Linked DNA regions of Drosophila melanogaster. The protein of the gene in region 1 interacts with the protein of each later gene in a pairwise test. Each region holds a gene or a part of one and is shown in the gene's direction. Other genes may lie near its edges.

Evidence for each region.
Region 2: the proteins of CG13585 (region 1) and ng2 interact in a two-hybrid assay, tested with the Drosophila melanogaster proteins (one large-scale study listed by BioGRID).
Region 3: the proteins of CG13585 (region 1) and CG14323 interact in a two-hybrid assay, tested with the Drosophila melanogaster proteins (one large-scale study listed by BioGRID).

The regions. Positions count from the first base shown.
Region 1 is NT_033778.4:24,529,522-24,533,897, forward strand, and holds CG13585 (uncharacterized protein), read left to right. Parts: upstream 1-2,072; 5' UTR 2,073-2,115; intron 2,116-2,123; exon of another isoform or gene 2,124-2,213; intron 2,214-2,590; exon of another isoform or gene 2,591-2,857; intron 2,858-2,918; 5' UTR 2,919-2,948; coding exon 2,949-3,020; intron 3,021-3,076; coding exon 3,077-3,122; intron 3,123-3,375; coding exon 3,376-3,590; 3' UTR 3,591-3,870; downstream 3,871-4,376. Other genes in the region: CG4622 (uncharacterized protein), read right to left, coding at 3,980-4,376.
Region 2 is NC_004354.4:3,239,430-3,242,211, reverse strand, and holds ng2 (new glue 2), read left to right. Parts: upstream 1-1,640; 5' UTR 1,641-1,677; coding exon 1,678-2,016; 3' UTR 2,017-2,186; downstream 2,187-2,782. Other genes in the region: ng3 (new glue 3), read left to right, coding at 155-595.
Region 3 is NT_033777.3:17,620,620-17,623,774, reverse strand, and holds CG14323 (uncharacterized protein), read left to right. Parts: upstream 1-1,662; 5' UTR 1,663-1,674; coding exon 1,675-2,307; 3' UTR 2,308-2,576; downstream 2,577-3,155.

The DNA.
Region 1 (4,376 bases):
ATCCGATAAGGGCCACCCGCTAACCAACTTCCTTAAAGGTGCCCACTTACGAGTTCCGCGAAAAAAACGAGAAGAGACGAAATCAGTCCCACAGTTCACAAAACAAATGCGAAAAAGTAGTAGTCCAGGTCGAATGCCTTAGCCGGCGGCTCATCATCGCGCATCAAGGTATAGATTCCCTGATGGATGAGCTCCCGGAAAGTGTCCGCCTTCATTTTGATGCTGATCCCGTGCTCCTGCAGGCGCCTCATGAACTCACTGGTCATCGCCAAGTACGGCAGACTGTTGGACACGCAGTAGGATTCGAGGGTAAAACCCACGGCCTGGCGAATCATGTTGAAGCGCGGCGTCTTCAGCAGGTACTGCTGCATCAGGATCAGCTCCAGGCGGTCCTCGTACAATATGTATATGTAGCTCTGATTGAGCCCATCCCGGTACGCCTTTAGCAGGGTGGCGTTCAAGCTCAAGCTGTTCCTGCGGAGCCGTTCGGGCAGGAAGGTTTTCGCCTTCATCTGACTTCTGTAGTACTCGTCGTGCAGACTGGGGTAGGGAGCCCTGGCCAGATCCTCCAGAGTGTTGTACTCCTCGTCGTACAGCCCGGATGTGAGGATGCTGGAGAGCGTGGCCAAGTAGACGTTGGTCAGTATAAAGCCTCCGATCGTTAGAATGCCATGGATGGCCACGTCCCTCCAGCCAGCAACTCTGATTTTCTGGTGGCAGTTGTATAGGATGTGGCTGAGGCTGTACAGCAAGCACTTTCCAATCTCGACTCGTGCTCCTCGCGCAGCCAGATGCAGCATTACGGTTCCGTACAAGACAGTCGAAATCACGACCGCCCAAAGGGTCCAGCCGAAGGGCTTGGAGTAGTACAGATAACTGGAAATCGGACGGGCGTGGGGAGCCATGAAGTACTCGCGGATAATCGAAAGTGGTGCTGTGTAGGCCACTTCCAAGCTGAAATCTTTGAAGTAGCAAACAATGTCGATCTTTTTTGTATGTAGCATTTCAGCAACGGCCAAGTATACATCATATTCCGGCAGATCGGGTATGGGTACACTCTCGATGGTGGCGTTATAGCGATAAGTCAGCTCCTTGACCGCTGTGAACAAATATCCTGCTCGCACCAAGCCACCCTGTTCGTTGGAGTACTCAAAGTCCCGAGGAGCTAATGTGCTTCGAAGTATGCGGACAGGAAAGCCTTGAAAGTTTCGAATTATCCTTGCGCGATCGAAATACTCGGACACATTTGATAGGCTGATCGGTTGAATGCTAGGATACGGTAGGTAGCTGTAGAGGCCCTTTCCGCTCATCAGAATTACATTTACGAATCCCTCCTTGAAGCAGTAGGTGTAGAGGTCCTGTTTCGGAAATCCTGGTTCCTCATTGCTCAGGAACACTATGTGCAGCTCATGGAGCTCGTCCAACAAGCGTGGCAGAAGACTGGCAACCAGTGGATTCAGATCTGAATCCATTACACTTACTATGATAAGGGTACTCTCTGTGAAGTTTCCCCGAATTCTAAGATCTCTAGCTTCCCTCGAGTTGGAGGAGAGTAAAATTCTCGGCGAGTCCAATTTGTGGAGTATCTCTGAGGTGGCGCAGCACTCAAAATCGATGAACACATTGAGCTCCGTTTGGAGAGCCAAATTGAGATCCTGGAGTACTTGGACTTGCATGGATTCCGAGTCAGAAGCCCCGACCAAGCACAGAAGAACTGACACCAGCAGAAAAGAAATCATTTTAATTACCATAAGGCAGCGGGAAAATGCTTTTATAGGCTGCGTAGAATGCCCACATGACAAGGCAAAAATATTTTCAGGTTGCATTTAAAAGGATAATGGATTAATTGCCATCCACCCCATCAAACCAAAGCTCAAGAAGACAAATGTCATATTACTCTTCCATTAACCTAGTGTATATTAGCAAATAACTCAAGTCATTTTAGCTGTTTGAGTTGCAGGATGAAGTAGATTCCAAATCAAACAGTTTTGAATTTCCCGCCCACTGAATGGAAACTTTCAAGCACTGGCAGCTCCACCGATATATGCCTCCAGTTCTGGTCGCTGTCCAGCACTACCATATGTGCACTTTTTATTCCCATTCCAATTCCAGTTGGTAAGAAAAGTGTAATTGTTACGTTGTGGCAGTGAAATTGTATCATAATTCTTTTACCATTCCAAATCGGAGCATATTAGAGTGTTAAGACCCGCAAGGTAACGACACTTAATTGCCAAACGCCCGCAGATGAGTTTGTTTACGCCCCCTTTGTGGCAACAAAAACAAAAGGGGAAAGTTGTGTTTACGTTTTCTAAAGCCAGATACCGTTTTCGGGGTGGTTTTGGTTCAATCGGGGAGTTTCCAACGGAAAGGCCTTGTAATTAAGTGTGATAAGGGCCCTCGCTCTCGCTGGCAATTAAAACTAGACGTCTTGTTTCTTCTGATAATCGTGTTTTTGAGTCAAATACCTACACACCAAGCAATCGGGTTTACGTGTGTGTATACACTAAGTGGGGCGGCATTGGGGTGGACCCTTTGCACAGTTGAATCCCTCTGCTCAACTGGCGTTAGCTGTCAAGTGTGTAAGTTATTTGCTCCCAGCTGCCCCAAAATTGAAGCTGTGCTCTGTGGGACCCAAGTGGCAGAACAACATAGTCCAGACATATAGGTACCAGTACATACGACCGACTCGCTCCGCACTCGCGATTTGAAAGCCCCTTTATCGGAACCATATGAGTATGCATGTATAAAACTCGATTGCGGCCGCAAATAAATTAGTCTCAGTTCGGTTCGTTTTGTTTGGAAACAGTTCTCTCGATCTCCGAACAGACACGTCAGTGTCAGTGGCAGCAGGCAAAATGTAGTATTTGCAATTCCACACTCAGTTTTCCCTATAGTATAACCTACTCCGATCTCCGCAGCGCAACTCAGACTAAGGCTAATCCGAAACCATGTCCGACGACTTCGATGGCTGCGAGTGCGTCTGGTCGCAGGAGTATGCGATGCAACGCCTCATCAACTTCGTAAGTTTCTGTGCGCGCAGCTCCCAGCTCATTTGATCAAGTGTACTTCCTTATAGATACGACAAAACCAGAATGCCTGCGGGGACAACGAGTGTTACGATGGTCAGTATCAATGTCTCACGTCTTTTTTTAAGTATGAAAACATTTAGATTTATAATACATTTTGCACAGCATGAAATCAGTAACAGTCTTTTACTCAAGTGAAGATTGTAACATTCATTTTTCGCATTTGCATTTTTAAAACAATTCAGTATAGACTAGGGTCATACGCGCTTAGTGATAAGTTGCCAAAAAGTATGCAGTGCTTCTACTTGCGGACTATAGTATAAACCATAACTAATCCATCCGTCCTCAGTCACCGGACGCACTCCGCACCAGGCGCAGATCGCCGGACGCGGCGATGACAGCGGCTTCTCCGTCGCCATGATCTTCCTGATCGTGGCCATGTTCATGTACATAGTGAACCCGAGTACCTGGGGCAACTTCACCAGCAACAAGCGAGCTGGCGGCCGACGCGACAATAACCAGGACGGCTCTCCGCCGCAGCCTCCTCCGCCGGCCATCAACTAGGCGACTCCGAGGACCCCTGCTTCTACGAAACCTGAGCATCCACAACACAATTTTCAGACCGCAATTCCTTGTTTTGTTAATTCTCCCACTATTGGGACAGAAACCACGGATAGAACCAAATCAATCGACTTGGTGGCATCCATTCGCACGTTTACACAGAACACAGATTAGGCAAATTATACACCTCTTACATTGTACAAAACACAAAACCGCGCACTCTGAAACACACCGGCTTATCAACTAACATATTTGGACACTTTTTAAAAGACTTTGGAAAACTAACCGCTTTCCTTGTGTATTTCCTTTGTACAAGAGGCTTTAAAATCTTTAAAATGTACATATGGTGGGCGGGAATTGATGTGGTTTGTATTGCCGTCTCCCTGGTCTCGTCAGTTCTCGTTCTGCAGTTTCACCATCTTTTCGCGTACGTTCTTTAGCAGATCCTTCATTTGTTCGTACTTTCCCGTGGAGTCGGGCAGGTTTTCAAAGTTGATCACATCGCTGACGCCCACCTTAAAGTTGCTGCCCACAGGCAGTCTGTCGTAAACGGAGAATTTCAGCAAAGGCGTGCCCTCATAAGACGCCTTAAAGGGAGTCGAGGGTGCTGATCGGGACTGCTCATTATTTCCGGACTCGGCAGCAGATGGACCAACCTCCGTCTCAGACGTGTCATCCAGGTCGGTTGGTGATTTCGATTCATTCGCTGTCGTGTTATGCGACGCATTAACATCCAGCTCTTGGAGGAGCTCCTCCTGCTGGGCCTTCAAATCTTCCAGGCTTGGAGAT
Region 2 (2,782 bases), on another chromosome or scaffold:
TTTAAGAAATGCCCAATTATGTATGTCCAATTTATATTCGCTACGCAAAAGATATGAAAGATTTTGTTACGTAATTGCTTAACTGTGGTAATTAGTATAAAAGACCACGGCCTCTGGCTGCAGACATCAGTTGTCCAGCCACTGGCCATCCAACATGCGCTACTCCTGTGTTCTTTTACTTCTGGCCACCGTTGCCTGTCTGCTAATCCCACAGACAGGTGGCTCCACGGCCACCACAACCTCAACTTCTGCTTCGGCTACCACCACCACTTCCGCCTCGGCCACGACAACCACTGCGTCGGATACAACTACTACCACAGCGGCTACCACAACCACTTCGTCCTCCTCCTCAAAGAGTAAAAAGAAGAAGAGGACGTATCACTATACACGTCATGTTTATAGGCCAAAGCGGATACGACATATCTATAGGCACAAGGCCGACGACGACGAAAGCTCTACCGATCGCACCAGCACACGCAGCCGTCGTCGTCGCCGCAGCAGTAGCAGCAGTAGCAGCAGTGGCAGCACCAGTAGCCGCAGTGGTAACAGTCGCATCCGCCGCAGGAGAGCCCGAAGTGCCCGACGCCTGTCTTAGTGACCACATCTTGTACAACAAACCAACTGATCTGATCGTGACGCCTTTGAAAATGTAGTTTTTCTTTTTGGTTTTCTTTTTTCCGTTCAAAACACTTAAGGCAAATAAAATGAATATTTCGATATTAGTTCATTCTGCTTATCAATGCCGCTTAAAGCATTTACTTATGCTTTTACTTATGCATTTACTTTACAAAACAGATCGAGATAAGAAGCATCACTTGTTGTTTAAAGTGTATGTCAAGTTCGTTACAACGTATAATTAACCATTGAAATTTTGATCAAATAGTTACTTTCAGAAAAAATATAAAGGGCATACTCCTACAATAAATGCTATATATTATAATCTTAAGTATTATTATCTACCCCAGACGTTATTTAATATAGTTAATAATAGCGCTTTCCTAAGCTACGTACACAATGTGTTTGTTTGTCTATAATTCAGACAAGCTACAAATGAAAGTAAACAATTTATGGCAAAATCATTTTAATTGGTTAATATTTTTCCATTATTTGCTTAAGAGAATAAGTTTAAAGCTGATGTGTTCCGTGTTTTAAAAGCCGTAGTATACTTTTTAGGGGAAATTATTTAAGTGGCAGAATATATAGTTGAATATAGTATAGTATATAGTATATATATAGTAAAGAATCTATATATATAGTATAGTATATAAAGTTGAATTTTTCTGCAGTTTTTACAATGCGTTTATCGTATATAGATTTAACCTAAGTCATTTGCATTTATTTAAAAACCAAGTAACGGTTGACAAAACTAGACTTCCGTTGGCATTAGTGGCTTAAGTGATTTTTATAATAACAGTTAATAAATTTTCGCAAAATGACAAGCTCCATACAAAAATAGATTATCATGCCTCTTGTACATGTGCAAATTTTATCTGTTTAAACAATTGTGCCAATACGAAAAATAGCGAATTTTTGTTTGGCCAAAAATAACATCTTTTCTTTGGCTGACACAGTTTGGCCGAAGAGGATAAACCCAGTAGAGAAGACTACTATAAAAGCTGGCTTTCGTTCTTCAAGACAGCATCAGTAGCAAGGCATCTATTGTAGCATTTGCTCACCATGAAGATCACCGTGGTACTCGTACTTCTCGCCACCTTCCTCGGCTGTGTGATGATCCACGAGTCGGAGGCGTCCACAACCACCACGTCCACCTCCGCCTCGGCCACTACCACTACTTCCGCTTCGGCGACCACCACTACTTCCGCTTCGGCCACCACCACCACTTCCGCTTCGGCCACCACAACAACAGCCTCACCTTCCTCGAGCTCAAAAAAGAAGACTGTCACTCACTATAAGCGAAAGGTCAAGAGGCCAAAGAAGGTCAGGAAAATCACAAGGAGAAGGGGTCTCAGGAGCCGCAATGGTCGCAGCAGTAGAAACCGCAGATCGGAAGAATAAGAGATCCAGGACCAATAGAAAATCCACGCCACTCTCAATGCTGAACCCCAGGAACCAATTGTTTTCTTTTTTTTTTATTTCTTAGTCCATAAGCTTAACTAACACTACAATAATTCTTTTACAAGTCAATTAAGAAATCATAAAAAAATATACATATTTTGTGACATGTCAGTCAAATGTTATTTATTCAGTTATTGGCCAAACAAAATTTAGCAACTAGTTGTTTTGCACAATTGTTTAAACATTTGAAATGCCTTTACTTTATAAATAAATATATGATGCGCATAAATGTGTAAGTTCTTGTATATTTTTTTTAACATCTATAGTGATTTAGCTAATCATTTTATATTAATTTTCAGAACAAATATTTTATTCATGATCATCTGAATGTGAATGCGAAATCTGAAATCCTTTTTAATAAGTTGATTAAAATGCAGACGAGCATTAAACATTTATTCGTCAAGGCTTTTCTGGGCCTCAAAAGTTGCGTTTCCATTGAAATCCATTAGCACAAAACCGAACTCGAGGAAACCCGCAAAAGCCCCAAAAGGAAAATTTGTGCAAGCGGCAAAATACTCGTAAGCAAAAACTTTTCAGCCCAAAAAAGCGAATGGGGAAATTCGAAAAGCTGTTGCCATAGATACCGCACACTCACACACATATATATATATATAGGTACATATATGTATGTATGTATGTATGTGAGAGGAAAAACATTAAGAGAAAAAAACGGAAAACAACAGCCACGAATTCCATAACAAAAGAG
Region 3 (3,155 bases), on another chromosome or scaffold:
AGTTTCTGGGCCCCAACAACATGTGTTCAAGCATACATATATCATTCGCAATGCTCTAACGCCCACCCCAAAAAAAAGCTGATCCAAGCCTCATCGTCACCCGAGATTTTTAGCAATTGTCAGCAATTTTCTCAATGTACAGGACAGCCCAGAAACTATCTCACAAAACCACTAAGCAAATGTCCCTCGTCCAGGACGATGTGTGCTGTGTATTTTTCTGATTATCCTGGACGGTCAGTTCGGCCAAAGTCGCACACAGTGGGCGTGTACATAGCTGAGGCATTAACATAATTTATGTGGTTCCGCCGGATTTGGCATTGTCGTAAAAAAGGACACTCCATTGTCCGTTTCGAGCTTCGATAACAAAGGCAAAGCCCGGCCGAGGATTGTGGTTTTTATTGTTTTGATGGCAACAAAGTTTGTGGAAAGTTTAGTTAGTTTTTCTGTTGACTTTGCGTATTTTTTTAATTAAATGAATTTCGTGTTGGAGAAATCAAATAGTTGCCAGCTAATCTATGCAGCCATAACTCATATTTTGAAAGAATATCTGGTCGGGGTGTATGAAGTTCATGGTCCGTAAAAACGTGCGAAATTTTCACGGGCGCGTGAATTTTCACAGCCCTTGGTGGTTCTTGTTTTTGTTTTTCCAGACACGGACGTGCGCCACCTCCTTTTTTACCTCGTACTGATTGTTGTCACCTGTTTTTTGCACACTTTATTCGCAGGCCTCCCGCTAAAAGTTGGGTATGCGGGCATGGCTCAGAAGTTGGTGTTTTTCCTGATTCAATGAGTATAGAGTTCTTGAGCAGCACAGCCTTACAGGGTGTTTAGGCGTCGCATTATCTTCAACTGCTTAAAATGTTAGTACACCTGGCACGCAGAACTCATAACTCAAAACGGTTTTTGTTGCCCTCACAAAAGTATGTAATGCGGCAAAATAAAATCAAGCAGCAAAAGTCAAAAACTTCGAGTTTTTCTGTACATTTAATAATGAAAGATTGCTCGTACGTGCGGCTCGCGAGTATTTACGTGGGAAAGGAGAACATTTTTAGGGATGCATACTTGGGAAATCACTGCAACTTTTTTTTATACCTATTTTTAAATTTTTTTAAACCAATATGTAAATTCCGGAAATATAAAATAAAAATAAACCTTCTGGAGATGCGGGGCATCGATCCCCGTACCTCTCACATGCTAAGCGAGCGCTCTACCATCTGAGCTACATCCCCGATGTGAGCGCCGCTAACTATTTTGGACTGTATGTATAAAGAAATAGTGGTTTAGCGTTTTAATTAGATAAATTTGGCAATCTTTGCTTTAGTTTTAATTTAATTTTGGGTTTTCATATAAATGAAATGAAAATAAATAAAATGAATGCCTAAAAAAGGAAATCGTTTTATATAATTTTTATTCAAATACTTAACTTAACTTAAGATATACATTTTCGGATATGCATTTTAATACTTGTACAGATTTCGGTCGGTAACTGGGGCAGCCTTGAATGTTTTTGTATTAATAAAATTTCACGCTTTGTTTGCTTTGCCAAAGTTACAGCACTTGAATGTTCATTACAAGGCCCATTAGGCAGCCTGTCTTCGTGGGACTCACTGAGTTGGAGTTGAGATCGGACGCAAAGTAGTCCGCCTACAGATTTCAGCAGATGCAGTTGGGAAAATGGCAGTGCTCCAGATTTTATTTTTGCTGATCCTGGTCAACAGCAATGGATCTCAGAAAACCGACTTGGATGTGGATGAGGAACCAGATCATACAGGACCAGAACCAATCGATGGACGATCGTTTTTCTTTCTGGGTACTTTGTTTCGTCGTTGGCGTAACCGCTGGATGGCCTCTCACAATCCGGATCCCATATTCGCCGGCCCCGCCTATCCCATATCTGGTTATTACAATTGTCCTGTATATGGCTGCAGCCTGGCGGCTATTGGTCCTCAACCAGGTTACTACGCTACACCTGCAGGATTTTACACCATGCCTCTGAATCAGCAGCAGGCTCAGGGGAACAGCAATGTGTATATCTATCAAAGTGATCAAAATTCCGCGACGTCTGGAAGTCCCATGGGCTATGGGTATCTGAGCGGAGCTTCGCCGATACGACCAGCTCCGCCTTTCCCTCCACCACCACCTGGTATGCCACCGCCCACATCCGTTGGAACGGTACAGGCCAGCGCAGGTGGGTATTCTGGACCAGGAGCAGGACCTGGACAACGGCCAGGACCGTTTCCAATACCCTTCCAATACCCTGGGATGAATGGGAAAACAAGTAGCCGGAGGAAGCGCTCGCCCAAGTAAACAGAGCAGAGCAAAGTAAAAGAAAACAATACAATTTTAATTGAAATGTGTGCGTCAAAAAAAGTTAAGTGAAAAGAGATAAAATTAAGTTTTCGAAACCGGAAAATGTTTTGCACACTAAAAACCGCAATCTATTGCTTAAACTAAGACAAGAAAACTCCAATATCCTACAAAATTATTGGATTATTATTTTAGTGCTGACCAATGTTTTTAAGCTATTAAAAAAGTGTACTTAAATAATTTCGCAATTTAATAAAGACCGTAAAATTAAGTGTTTCCATTGCTTGGTATCAATAAATTTAAATGAAAACCGTTCATCTGTGCAATTAAAATCATTTTGTTTACATTACCAACTAGATTTCGAAAGTGGCGCAGCTCCCCGGAAAAATCCTCAAAAAGGGTTACCCACGCACACACTCACACGTCCATTTATCCATTAACGCCAAAGGAAAAACTCCACAAGCAATCTGCATAAACAAACTCATCATCATCATCCTCACCAGCTGAAGGATGAGCTCGAGGTTCCGGACGAGCAAAGCCGAGCTATCGTAGCTCCGGCATTTGTTTTGATTCCATCATAAACCATAAGATAGCTGCAAACGAGGATGGCTGATGAAGTGGTTGCAAGCTGCCCAAGGAGCTGGGGAGAGATTCAATTGTTTGGCAAATAAATGCCCGGCAGCATAATGGATGGCCATCCATTGGCCTGGTCAGCTCCGTGTCCGCTCCTGTTATTATTTTTATATAACTTGCGAAAATAATAATAGAGCTTGCCCATGCCCAAGGGCGTGGCAGAAGCAAACAACCATGCGACAGTTGAATAAACAGAAGTGTGAAAGTGCAGATAG